Linked DNA regions of Sus scrofa. The protein of the gene in region 2 purifies or fractionates together with the protein of the main gene of each other region. This does not show direct contact. Links are inferred from orthologs where the notes say so. Each region holds a gene or a part of one and is shown on either strand. Other genes may lie near its edges. The genes, in order: PPP2CB, ANKLE2 and PPP2R1A.

Region 1 (3,647 bases), on a different chromosome or scaffold from region 2:
AAAGGGACTGAATACAACATGATCCTGGATTAAACACCCACATATACAATTAAATTTTTCTATAAAGGACATCAGTGAGATAATAAAAATGTGAATAAGGTATTTAGATAATAGTAGCATAGCAATGAAATTTTCCTGTGACAACTATATAGAGTGGTTGTGCAAGAGGATGTCCTTAGTTTACAAAATACACATGGAAATTTGAATATAAAGGGGCATCTCCCTTGCAACTGACATTCAAACAGTTCAAAAAAAGTAATGTGGGGTAGGAGGAACAGGAAGGGAGAGACAGAATGATAAAGCAAATATTAAAATATCTATCTTTGTGGAATCTGAGTGTAGGATACAAGGAAATGTTTTGTTACTATTTTTTCAATTTTCCTCTAATTCTAAATTAACTTCAAAAGTGAATTATAATTTTACTTTGGCCAACTAGTCCTTTCATATTTGCTTAAACCAGCAAAATTTTTTCTCCTTTCATTTAGGTAATGAGGAGGAATGTTTCTGACATTTTAATTCACTTTTTTTTAAAGCATTGGTTTTATTTTATTTGCATTTTAGGGCTGCACTCACGTCACGTGGAGGTTTTCAGGCTAGGGGTCAAATCAGAGCTACAGCTGCTGGCCTATGCCACAGCAACAGCAGCGTGGGATCCAAGCTGTGTCTGCGACCTACACCACAGCTCACAGCAATGCCAGATCCTTAACCCACTGAGCAAAGCCAGGGATTGAACCCACAACCTCATGGTTCCCAGTTGGATTTGTTCCCGCTGCGCCACGACAGAACTACCGACATTTTAATTCATGAACCCTTACTATGGATACGTTTACTTGAAATAGAGATCATCTTATAGGAAAAGGACATACCTCCATTACCAGTTGGTGAGCACGAGAAACCAGTGTGAGGCCATTGGCATGGTTAAATGTTTCAGAAATATCTTGTCCAAATGTGTAGCCAGCACCACGTGGTGAGATGCCCCACCCACCACGATCATCCGGATCCGACCATAAGAGATCACACATTGGGCCCTAACCAAGAAAATGAAGTACGTGGTACAAATTATTAGTAGTCATGTTTAACTAATCTAGCTGTACCACAATGTGGTTGTATTTCTCTCTTATTAAAACTAAGTTTACCTCATGTGGCACTTCTTGTAAACGATCCAGGGCTCTTATATGATCCAGTGTATCTATGGATGGAGAGAGGCCACCATGGAGGCAGAATATCTGTTTATGAATTTAAAATGAACTTATTTTATTAAATGCTAAAAGACAATAGAGTAAAAATAATGGCTACATGTCAATACCAGTGGCTTTTCTTTACAAAATAATGTTTAATAAACTTATAAAATACAATACAAAAACACATTATTAGAGAGAGCTATTAACATTTAAATATACTTCTTTTTTCTTTATAATCCTAGGTATTTTCTATAGTGTATTTCCCCCTTTCCTGTTACTGGTTCCAACAGTTCAATTTTCTAGAATTTTCTAAGTACATAATCATGTTGCTTGCAAAGAATATTTTCTTCTCAATGTTTATACCTTTTAGTTCTTTTTATTGCTTAGTGCACTGGCTAGGACTTCCCAAAACAAAACTGAATAATACTTTTTTCTTCTAGGGTGGGGGGAATATATATATTCCTCCATGGATTCTATGTTAAGAGATAATACAAGTTTTAGAAGGCAATTTTCTCTTGATTTTGATGAGTTTTTTTTCTCCCTCTTTTTATGGTTGTACCTGTGGCAAATGGAAGTTTCTGGGCCAAGGACTGAATTGGAGCCACAGCTGTGGCTCATGCCACAGTCACAGCAACATGAGTTCCAAACCACATCTGTGACCTACACTGAAGCTTGTGGCAATGCCAGATCCTTAACCCACTGAGCAAAGCCAGGGTTTGAACCTGTATCCTCAGGAGACTGTCAGGTTCTTAACCCTCTGAGCCACAATGGGAACTCCTAATAATTAATATAATTAATTTATAATTAATATAAATTAATAAATAATATTTATTATATTTTATTATAAAATAATTTCATCTATTCCCCCCAAATTTACTGGAATAAAGCTGTAACTGTTAACTGTGACATGTAAATGCCTCCAAACTTACAGCAATACCTTCTTAATCCTAGTGTTTTATGTGGCCTTTTTCTTTTTTTTTTTTCTTTTTTTTTTGTCTTTTGTTGTTGCTATTTCTTGGGCCGCTCCCGCGGCATATGGAGGTTCCCAGGCTAGGGGTCGAATCGGAGCTGTAGCCACCGGCCTACGCCAGAGCCACAGCAACGCGGGATCCGAGCCGCGTCTGCAACCTACACCACAGCTCACGGCAACACCGGATCGTTAACCCACTGAGCAAGCGCAGGGATCAAACCCGCAACCTCATGGTTCCTAGTCGGATTCGTTAACCACTGCGCCACGACGGGAACTCCTATGTGGCCTTTTTCTACATCAGTTTTGGGTATTGAATTTCTTTATTAGACTTTCAGAAACTGCTTCTGGCCATATTGTTCAACTGCATTTCTTGGTATCCATTTTTGTTTTTATCTTTTTTTAAGTTTATTTTACTGTTTCATTCCTTCCTTTTGCTTTCTAGGGCTGCACCCAAGGCATATGGAAGTTCCCAGGCTAGGAGTCAAATTGGAGCTACAGCTGCTGGCCTAAGTCACAGCCACAGGAATGGGATTCAAACCACATCTGTGACCTACACCACACCATAGCTCATGGCAAAATCAGATCCCCAAACCCTTGAGCGAGGTCAGGGATTGAACCTACATCCTCATGGATACTAATCGGATTTGTTTCCACTGTATCACAACAGGAACTCCAACTGTTTCATTCTTTAAATATTCATTTCACATTTCTATTTTTCTACAAAATAATCTATAAATAAATGCATTTCCTCGCATTTCATTCCTTATTTACATCCAAAAGTTTTGGTTTACATCATACTTTTTGGTCCAGTCATTTAGAAGTGATTTTTGTGTTAGTATCAGGTTGTGAAAGTTCCCAAGGAGGTCGATTTTTCATTTTCATTTATCCTTTTCTATTTAATTTCTCCTTCTCCCCCTGTCTTTTTAAGGGCCGCACCTTAGGCATATGGAAGTTCCCAGCCTACAGGTTGAATCAGAGCTGCAGCTGCCGGCCTACGACACAGCCACAGCAATGTGGGATCCAAACTGTGTCTGGGACCTACACTGTAGCTCACGGCAACTTAACCCACTGAGCAAGGCCTGGGATCGAACCCGCATCCTCAGGACAGCAGTCAGGTTTGTAAAGCCACAACAGGAAGTCCTCTCTTTAATTTCTAACTTAAGTTTTGTTCTACTACTTAGAGTCAGAGATCTTCATTTAACACATGATATATAAACAGATGGAAAGGAGAAAAGTGAAAGGAAAATGGGAAGGTGGAGAAGGAGGAAAGGAAGAACTTGCTGGTCTCAATGTACATAAAACTAACCCAATTCCTTGTTCTGAAACTTTAAGGGAAAGAGAGAGAAAAGTCCAAGGAGATGCAGAAAGAATGCCATGTAAACCCAGACTACAAATTACTAATCAAAATCCTTTCCTACTTTTATCCACCCTCACATACACACCTGTCCATCTACTAAAGCTGTAAGTGGAAGATAATCAAATAGATCTGTAAAATA
Region 2 (3,647 bases):
CTCAGAACCAGGGGCCTTGGAGAGTCAAAGCTCATGCGATTTCCTGCATGAGCCGCAGGTGACCCTGCGCAGAAACCCTGGCCACCCCTCCCTGCACCCATCACCGTGGGCATCACCCCTCCCGCTTTGCCACCTGCAGCCACACATCAGGGGAGCTCCCTGACGGGCCTGACAGTGGTCCAGATGAACCTTTGTACAAATGTAGCTACTGACGCCCCCTGTGTAACGCCCACTGGTACCTCTGTCTGTCTGAGGGGGAGAAGCCCAGGACGGCACTCTTCCACCTGTTCACAGCTGGGTACTGCTGAGGGTCCACGTCCGCGTTCTCCAGAGCTGCCAGAACATCCCGATCCAGTTTTGATGGTTCCTCTCTGGAAGGTACGAGAAAAAGGAGGAACCACCATGATAACAAGCACAGACATCTGAGAGTTCCCTTGTGGCACAGCGGGTTAAAGATCTGGCAGTGACAAACTGCTGTGGTGTGGGTTTGATCCCTGGCCTAGGAACTTCTGCATGATGCAGGGGCAAACCGAAAGAAAATAAGAGAAAAAAAGCACAGATGTCAAGCACCACCACAACCTTCAGGCAGAGGAATACGATCTAGGCTGCGGAGAGGCCCAGGTGGGGACAGTGGAGGCGATGTGCTGAGGGGACGGGTCCTGCTGTGAAACTGCCTTCTGCATAGTCCCACCCCGAGGACAGCTGAGCAGAAGCTGGGGACTAAGATCCTGGCAGCCCTCCTTCCTAAAATGAACTAAACTCCTAGCACAGCTGGGTCACTCAGGAAGTAAAGCAGACACATCGAGCCAGCGAGGATGCCAGCCCTGACCCACTTGGAAGACCCAAGGACTAGAGGTGCAGGTCTGCCAGGTTGCGGGTTGAAGTGGGCCTCCTCATGTTCCCTCCCACTGCTCCACGTTCATGTGCATGCCCCGTGATGGTGTGTGTATGCCCCCTAATTCGTACCCAGACAGGAAGCGCCTCTGGACTGGGTCCTGTGAGGCATTGACCCCCGAGGGCCCTGAAGTCACAGAACCACAGCTTTGCTGGGCCGCAAGCCTGGGGCTGGTGGGACCCAGGTACAAGTTCGAAATCCCAGCTGACATCTCGCTTTCTGTCCTCATCTGCGTCTCTCCGGGAGGGTCGGCAGCTGGGAGTCCAGACCCGTCACCTTCTGCACTCACTCCTGATGCCAGGATCTTCTCTTGAGTTTTCGAGTTTTTCTTTGGTGTCTTAGAAAAGCTACTTTCTAGATTCTGCAAATTCAGTTTATCAAACTCAACAGTCAAGCCAGAGACAGGAGACAGGAACGCTTCCTCCCCAACTGGGGCCTTTGGCCTCTTCCCCCCCAGGGTCTTGCCCTCACTCAGGGGGCTGCAAAACCCATTTTTGTTGCTGTGGGGAATGGTGGGGGCGGAGGCTTCTATGAGTTCTGACTTCTGCTCGGAGGGGTGGATGTTACACCCCGAGGCTCTGGAAGCAGTGACTGCAGGCTGTGTGCTGCTTCGAGCAATGTTTTGCCGATTTTTGATCTCTTCCAAGCTCACATCCTCATCCTCATCTAGAAACGCCCCCACAGAGATGGAGTTGCTGCCCTTCCTGTGACGGCCTGTGGGGGAAAAAAGGCAGCCCTTCAGGGTGTGGGTGAGAGGACGCGCAGGGTGCCCCCAGGCACAGTCACAAAACCCCAGCCCAGGCCCTTCTCATTCAAAACCTCCTCCTCAGATTCCAAGACAGAAAACCACCTTCTTGAAAAAGGCTGGCAGGACCTTGCACACAGAAATACAGCCTCCGGGCCCAGCTCTCCTCCCTCCAAGGCAGGGAAACAAGGAGGAAGCCGGCTGGTTCCCAGGACACAGCCCATGTTCTTACCGAGGGCTGAAGTGTCCTCCTGGCGACAGGCTGAGTTTTCTCCCATGTCTTGTTGGGGCTTTTTGCCTACTTCCTGCTGAGTGAGATATTCTTCTAGTTTTTGCAGGCCTGCCTGGGAAGACAGATCAACAAAACAGCCCAGAAAGTCCCAGTATTCGACCCAGGGATACCCCAGCTCATGAGCCAGCTCTCTGAAAGAATAAAGCACAGTTAACCGGTTGTGAGACCAGGACAAAAACTCACAGAACTGCCTACACAGAAAGGAGCCTGATGCTGACAGTGCCAAAGCAACGCCTGTGATCTTGGTCTGGATTTCACTTCACCCTAAATTTGGGGCTGAAGTAGCCGCCCTCCCAGGGTAAGAGCGAGCACAGTTTCCCTCTCAGACTCTGCCGTGTTATGGAATGAGCCAACAAGGCCACTGGGGAGGAAGGAGACCCCGACCCAAACGCACCATTCACACTGACACTCAGGAGAGCTAGAGAGGGTCAACTGTAAAACTCCACTAATGGAGACCTTTTTGTTTTCATGAAACAACGGCATAAAGTTGGAGATGATTCTGGTTTGGGCCAGACATAAACGCGTAGAAGCCCTTTTCACTTTTGAGTTGTAAACCTAACACTGGGCACATATATTTTGAGAAAAAGTTCTAAAATGACTCAACTAAGTTTAATTTGATTACACTGTAAATTACCTTCTTGACTGGGGAAGGAATGCTTTCCAGGCACTTCTTTACTAGTACTTTCTGGCCACGCCCTCCTCTGATGCTTAGCACCTACCACACACTCACTGGTGCCTCTCAGACACCCCTCTGCCCTGGAGGGACTGTTTGACTGAGACGTTTGCTGCATGAGCTGCAGCCTGCACCTTTGCAAGGACTTACAGCCCTCACACTCTCCCAGTAAACTCGATCTGGGAACTACCATTGGGAAGGCAGCTGCAATTCTTTAGCTTCAATCTCACACAAGCACACAGCATCCAAAATGATGGTCACTTAGGGCCCTTTAAGTACCTTCCCACTCTCTCAATGCCTCTATCTGGATCCGATTTCCTGACACTGTGGAAGAAGCCTGCTTTCTCTCGAGGCGGGGTTTTCCAGAGTCGGCGAAAATCTTCTGCCTACGAAAGAGAGGGTGTGTTGAGCTATGCTCTGCACCCAGGTCACCTGGTACTGTAAAGAGCCACCAGCACCACAGGCACCCGCCTCAACCTGCAGGCAATGCGCCCACCTGTCCTGGAGCCAAGAGACCAACCCGGCCTTGGCTAATGGTCAGAGCTGCACCAGGAGGCCCCAAGGGAGACACTGTAGAGGTGCCACCCTGAGCCCCAAGTCACTTTCCCATCACAGGAGAGGAAGATAAACGTTGGTGCTTTTCATGTTTTATGGAAAATAAATATTGGTGCTGCTGAATCTAATCCTAACATTTCTGTAGTTTTGGGTAACTAATCATTGAGAAAGTTCTTTCAACAAGATTAAAGATTATAGACAGGTCAGTATATGAAGGACCTCCTTCTGGAAGGTGAACTTCCGAGTAACAGTGCAAATCCAAGACTCCTGAACAGGCAGCCTAGCTAGCAGGTCAAGACGCTGGCACAGGTGGGGAGCCAGGTGACGCTGGCCAGGGGAGGGTCAGCCACGTTAACCTGGCTTCTTGGAAGCAAGGGCTCATCACACACGGGCCCTGACTAATAGGTGAGGGACAGGATCAAGACACACCCTCAGTGAAGGTTCTGAAGCCCCCTTGACAATGCACTGGGGCTCTGCAAGAACTGGT
Region 3 (3,647 bases), on a different chromosome or scaffold from region 2:
GTGGGTGCACCCATCAGAGCCAACCAAGAGCAAGACTTCTTCCTTGAAGAAGCTGAAAACCAACTGGATAGAGACCTAAGTTCACGTACGTGAGCTTAGAGGGAACTCAAGGGCACGTACAACCATTTCTATGGGCTTCCCGAACTGCCTGGAGACCCCCAGCTGAGTGAGGCCTCGGTTCTCACGCCCGGGACCAAGAGCGGAAGTGTTCTCAACAGTGAGCAGGCCTCTTCCCTCTCCCCGAAGGGGCGAGTCGCCCAGACACAGCTGTGAACGTGGGAAAATACCAGGCGTCCCCCCACACGGGGTCTCACCTCCGGACACGAGGGAGACGCGAGTGACACACACCGCCCCCGGGGAGTGGGCTCCAAGGCAGCACACGGGTCCCACTAACACGGGTCCCACTAAGCCGCCGCCTACAGGCTGCGGGCTGCCCCTTGGGTGGCGCACCTGCCGTCTCACAAGGCCGGGCGAGGAACTCCAGGCCTCAGCTGAAGAGCAACCCTTGATGGCGGAGCTGAAAAGGTGAGGTCCACTCTGAACCTGAGGGTCAGCCAGACACCCCAGGAGGAGCCTTTCCCACAAACTCGCCATTTACTCTCAGGGATGGGGAGAGAAGAGGGTGGAAAATTCTCTTCTTGTTGAAACTATTCTGATAATTTTTTAAAAAAGATTTTCTTGAATGAGAAAGCAGAATGCTCTTGAAGATGCTGGGGAGGGTGTTGAAAGAACACAGAAGGGGCCTCTCGCCAGCCAAGGTGTGCCCACTGAGGCAACGGAAGCAAAAAAAAAAAAAAAAAAAAAAAATCGTATTTATAACAAGTTACAGCTACAAAAGCATGATTATGAAAGAAAATATGTGTGTGAAGCACTTAACATCATAAAATTTTGGTCATTACAGAATTAAATGATGGTCAAACACGAACTGAAATAAATACATGATCAAAAGTAGGATCACTAGGTTTTCTTTCAAAGGCTCTGTTTCCAGCATGTATAAAACCCTGATGTGTAATTCTGGGCTGAGAGATCATCCCGCTGCCGCAGAATCTAATGATGCGATGGGGGCAGGAGGGGGTGCGCCTGGGGGGGGGCTCGGATGGGATGCAGTGAACTGGTAAAAAAATGTTTCCTCCGGCTCCCTGGCACGCTCCACCTGAGCACCGCTGTGCTGTGTGTGCACGTGTGTCAGGGGAAGCGACTGAGGGCTCCGGGAACACAGAAGCAGCAGTAACAGGTCACACACCAGCCTTCAGTCTCACCACCTGCCCCGTCACCACCAAGGCCGAAGGAAACCAGGGAGCCTGCCTGCCACCCCTGCCCCACGCAGTCCTCCTGCCTGCCTGGCGGAGCTGCCCACACCCCTGCGCCCCGCTCCCTCCCCAGGCTCCTGCAGCGGCCTCCGGGGGGGTGGTCTCCCTGCACCTCTTCTGGCCACGGCACCTGCATCTTCCTTCCACGTTAGCCTCGGGGTTCCTTCCTAACCCCCAGATTTGCCCCACCTCCTCCCCGCACCGGCTGTCACCCCGCGCCCTCGCCAGCCATCACGGGGTGCTCGCTCTCCTCTTTTGTGCTCCAGGCCAAGTAAACAGTGAGGTGTGGTCACTCAAGGGACAGCGCTGGCCAATGGTGTGTGAACAGAAAACAGACGGGTCTTACTCTCAAGGGGACAAGGCCCGCTGCTGTGGGCTGCCCTGTCCCTTCCCACTGGCTGGGAGGCGGCGAGAGTCAGAGCAGCCACCTGAGACCCACAGGGTGCTGAGGTCGGCAGGGCTAAGCCCCAGCGCAGGCCCACCCCACCTCTGGATCGCTGGAAGGGAAGTAGTCCTCCGCCTCGGTTAAGCCACTGTATTCTGGGGCCTCTATGACAGCATCTCAGCCTGAACGCCGATAAACATGAACACAGCACAGCACCTGTATCACCAGGGAGCCATGGGGAACCCATATGTCCCTTTCCACAGCCCGCCGCCAAAGGTCTTTGAGGATCAAGCCCGTCTTACTCCTTGTGTGGTAACCCCAATGCCGAGACAGAGGTCTAGTGCAGAATAAGGGCAGGTGAAATGAATGCCTAATAAACAGATCCTAATAAATGCCTAAGGAATAGATGCCTAATAAGTAGATGCCTGATGAACAGATGCCTGATGATGAACAGATGCCCGATGAACAGGTGCCTCACATGCAGCCCATCACGACCACAAACATGCAACGCAGCGACAATGTGGGTGCTGGTGGAAGGTCCTAGGAGGTAAATCCCTGGCTGATCTGGGAAAGCGGCTCTGAGCTCAGGGCCTCGCTGGTGCCCTTACCCCACCCTGAGCTCAGGGCCTCGCTGGTGCCCTTACCTCATCCTTCAGCTGAGCCAGGAAGAGGGGCAGCAGGTGCTCGATGGTGTTGTCCTTGCCCAGGATGGGAGAAAGGCCCATGATGACCGAGGCCAGGGCCGACTTGACATGCTGGTTGGCGTCGGACACCAGCTCCTGGGAGGGAGAAGGAAGTGGGAAGCCGCGGGCTGAGTGGCTAAGGAGACTCCGACTCCTATGGAGACTTAGACTCGGCCTGCTTTTGTGCTCACTCCCAGAGCAGGCTTGGTGCAGAGGGAGAACTGCAGGTCCTCACGTGTCCAGCCTGCCTGGAGATCAACGACCCTGCTCCCAGCACCCCCGCCCCCACCCTTCCGATGAGGAGACCCAGGGACCTCTGCTTGCGAGAGAAGCACTCTCACCCCTACGCTCAGCCCAGAGTCTGCACGCAGGGCTCCTCACTGCCCCAACCCAAGCCTGCCTGGCCCTAGAAGTCTGGGAGCTCGGTTTGCACCTGGCTGCCCCCAAAGCCTCACCTCCACCCTTCCTCCCCGAAGGCTTAGATCTGCTCTAGTTCCCCCCTCCACCCCCAGTCCCCGATACCTTGATGCAGGGCAAGATCTGAGTCATGATGACATTCTCCCGACAGTCGGCTGAGAGGTTTTCACAGAACTCTGCGGGCAGGGAAAGGGAGGCGGCAGGAGGTGAGACCCGAGGGCCTGGTTCTGCCTTCAGCCCCCTGGACGCCCGCCCACTTGCTGTGTTCTGCTCGCCAGCACCAACCTTTGACCTTGTGGGAGGCTGCGGCCCTCACCTCGGCCTCACAGTCTTTCATCAGGTTCTGGAAGGCGGGGACCAGGTCCGTCTTGGTGATCTCAGGCCCCACTGCTTTCTGGAGCTGCAGGAAGGGAGGAGTGAGTGGGCTTGGCGGTTCTCTAGGTGAATGAGAACTGGCCGAGAGCGAGGCCCCTGGAATCGCTGCGAAGGTCTAATCCCAGCACCATGGGGATTGACCTCAGCCAAGTCGCCGAGCCACTCTGAGGCTCAGTTCCCTCCTCCTAAGGTGCTGAGCTGGGCCAATGGCACAGTGGTCACCAGCGTGGCTCTGGAGTCCAAGCCCCAGCTCAAATTCTTCCTCCTACTTATCACCCACGTGACCTTGGAGGAGTGGCTACACCTCTCTGAGCCTCTGTTTCCTCAAAAGCAACACGAGGACTGCAAGGGTACCTAACCGCACATGTTACCTACGTTAGAAATAACGAGATCGCCTTACTCTGCAGGTCATTCAGGGCTGGGTTTTCTGTTACCTGATCCAGAAGGAGCCTAACGATTTAAGGCGGCTCTCAGTTT

The links.
Region 1: the proteins of ANKLE2 (region 2) and PPP2CB purify together in Homo sapiens (affinity purification with mass spectrometry; 4 studies listed by BioGRID and IntAct, counting the BioPlex papers as one, with this or other methods). This does not show direct contact. The link is inferred for Sus scrofa from reciprocal best matches to the Homo sapiens genes ANKLE2 and PPP2CB.
Region 3: the proteins of ANKLE2 (region 2) and PPP2R1A purify together in Homo sapiens (affinity purification with mass spectrometry; 7 studies listed by BioGRID and IntAct, with this or other methods). This does not show direct contact. The link is inferred for Sus scrofa from reciprocal best matches to the Homo sapiens genes ANKLE2 and PPP2R1A.

Annotation. Positions count from the first base shown.
Region 1 is NC_010457.5:54,312,650-54,316,296, reverse strand, and holds part of PPP2CB (serine/threonine-protein phosphatase 2A catalytic subunit beta isoform), read right to left. Parts: coding exon 3,594-3,647; intron 1,227-3,593; coding exon 1,137-1,226; intron 1,029-1,136; coding exon 867-1,028; intron 1-866.
Region 2 is NC_010456.5:22,766,076-22,769,722, reverse strand, and holds part of ANKLE2 (ankyrin repeat and LEM domain-containing protein 2), read right to left. Parts: intron 2,992-3,647; coding exon 2,885-2,991; intron 2,064-2,884; coding exon 1,873-2,063; intron 1,610-1,872; coding exon 967-1,609; intron 372-966; coding exon 240-371; intron 1-239. UniProt on the Homo sapiens protein: Involved in mitotic nuclear envelope reassembly by promoting dephosphorylation of BAF/BANF1 during mitotic exit.
Region 3 is NC_010448.4:57,937,407-57,941,053, forward strand, and holds part of PPP2R1A (serine/threonine-protein phosphatase 2A 65 kDa regulatory subunit A alpha isoform), read right to left. Parts: intron 3,196-3,647; coding exon 3,081-3,195; intron 2,972-3,080; coding exon 2,901-2,971; intron 2,475-2,900; coding exon 2,340-2,474; intron 1-2,339. UniProt on the Homo sapiens protein: The PR65 subunit of protein phosphatase 2A serves as a scaffolding molecule to coordinate the assembly of the catalytic subunit and a variable regulatory B subunit.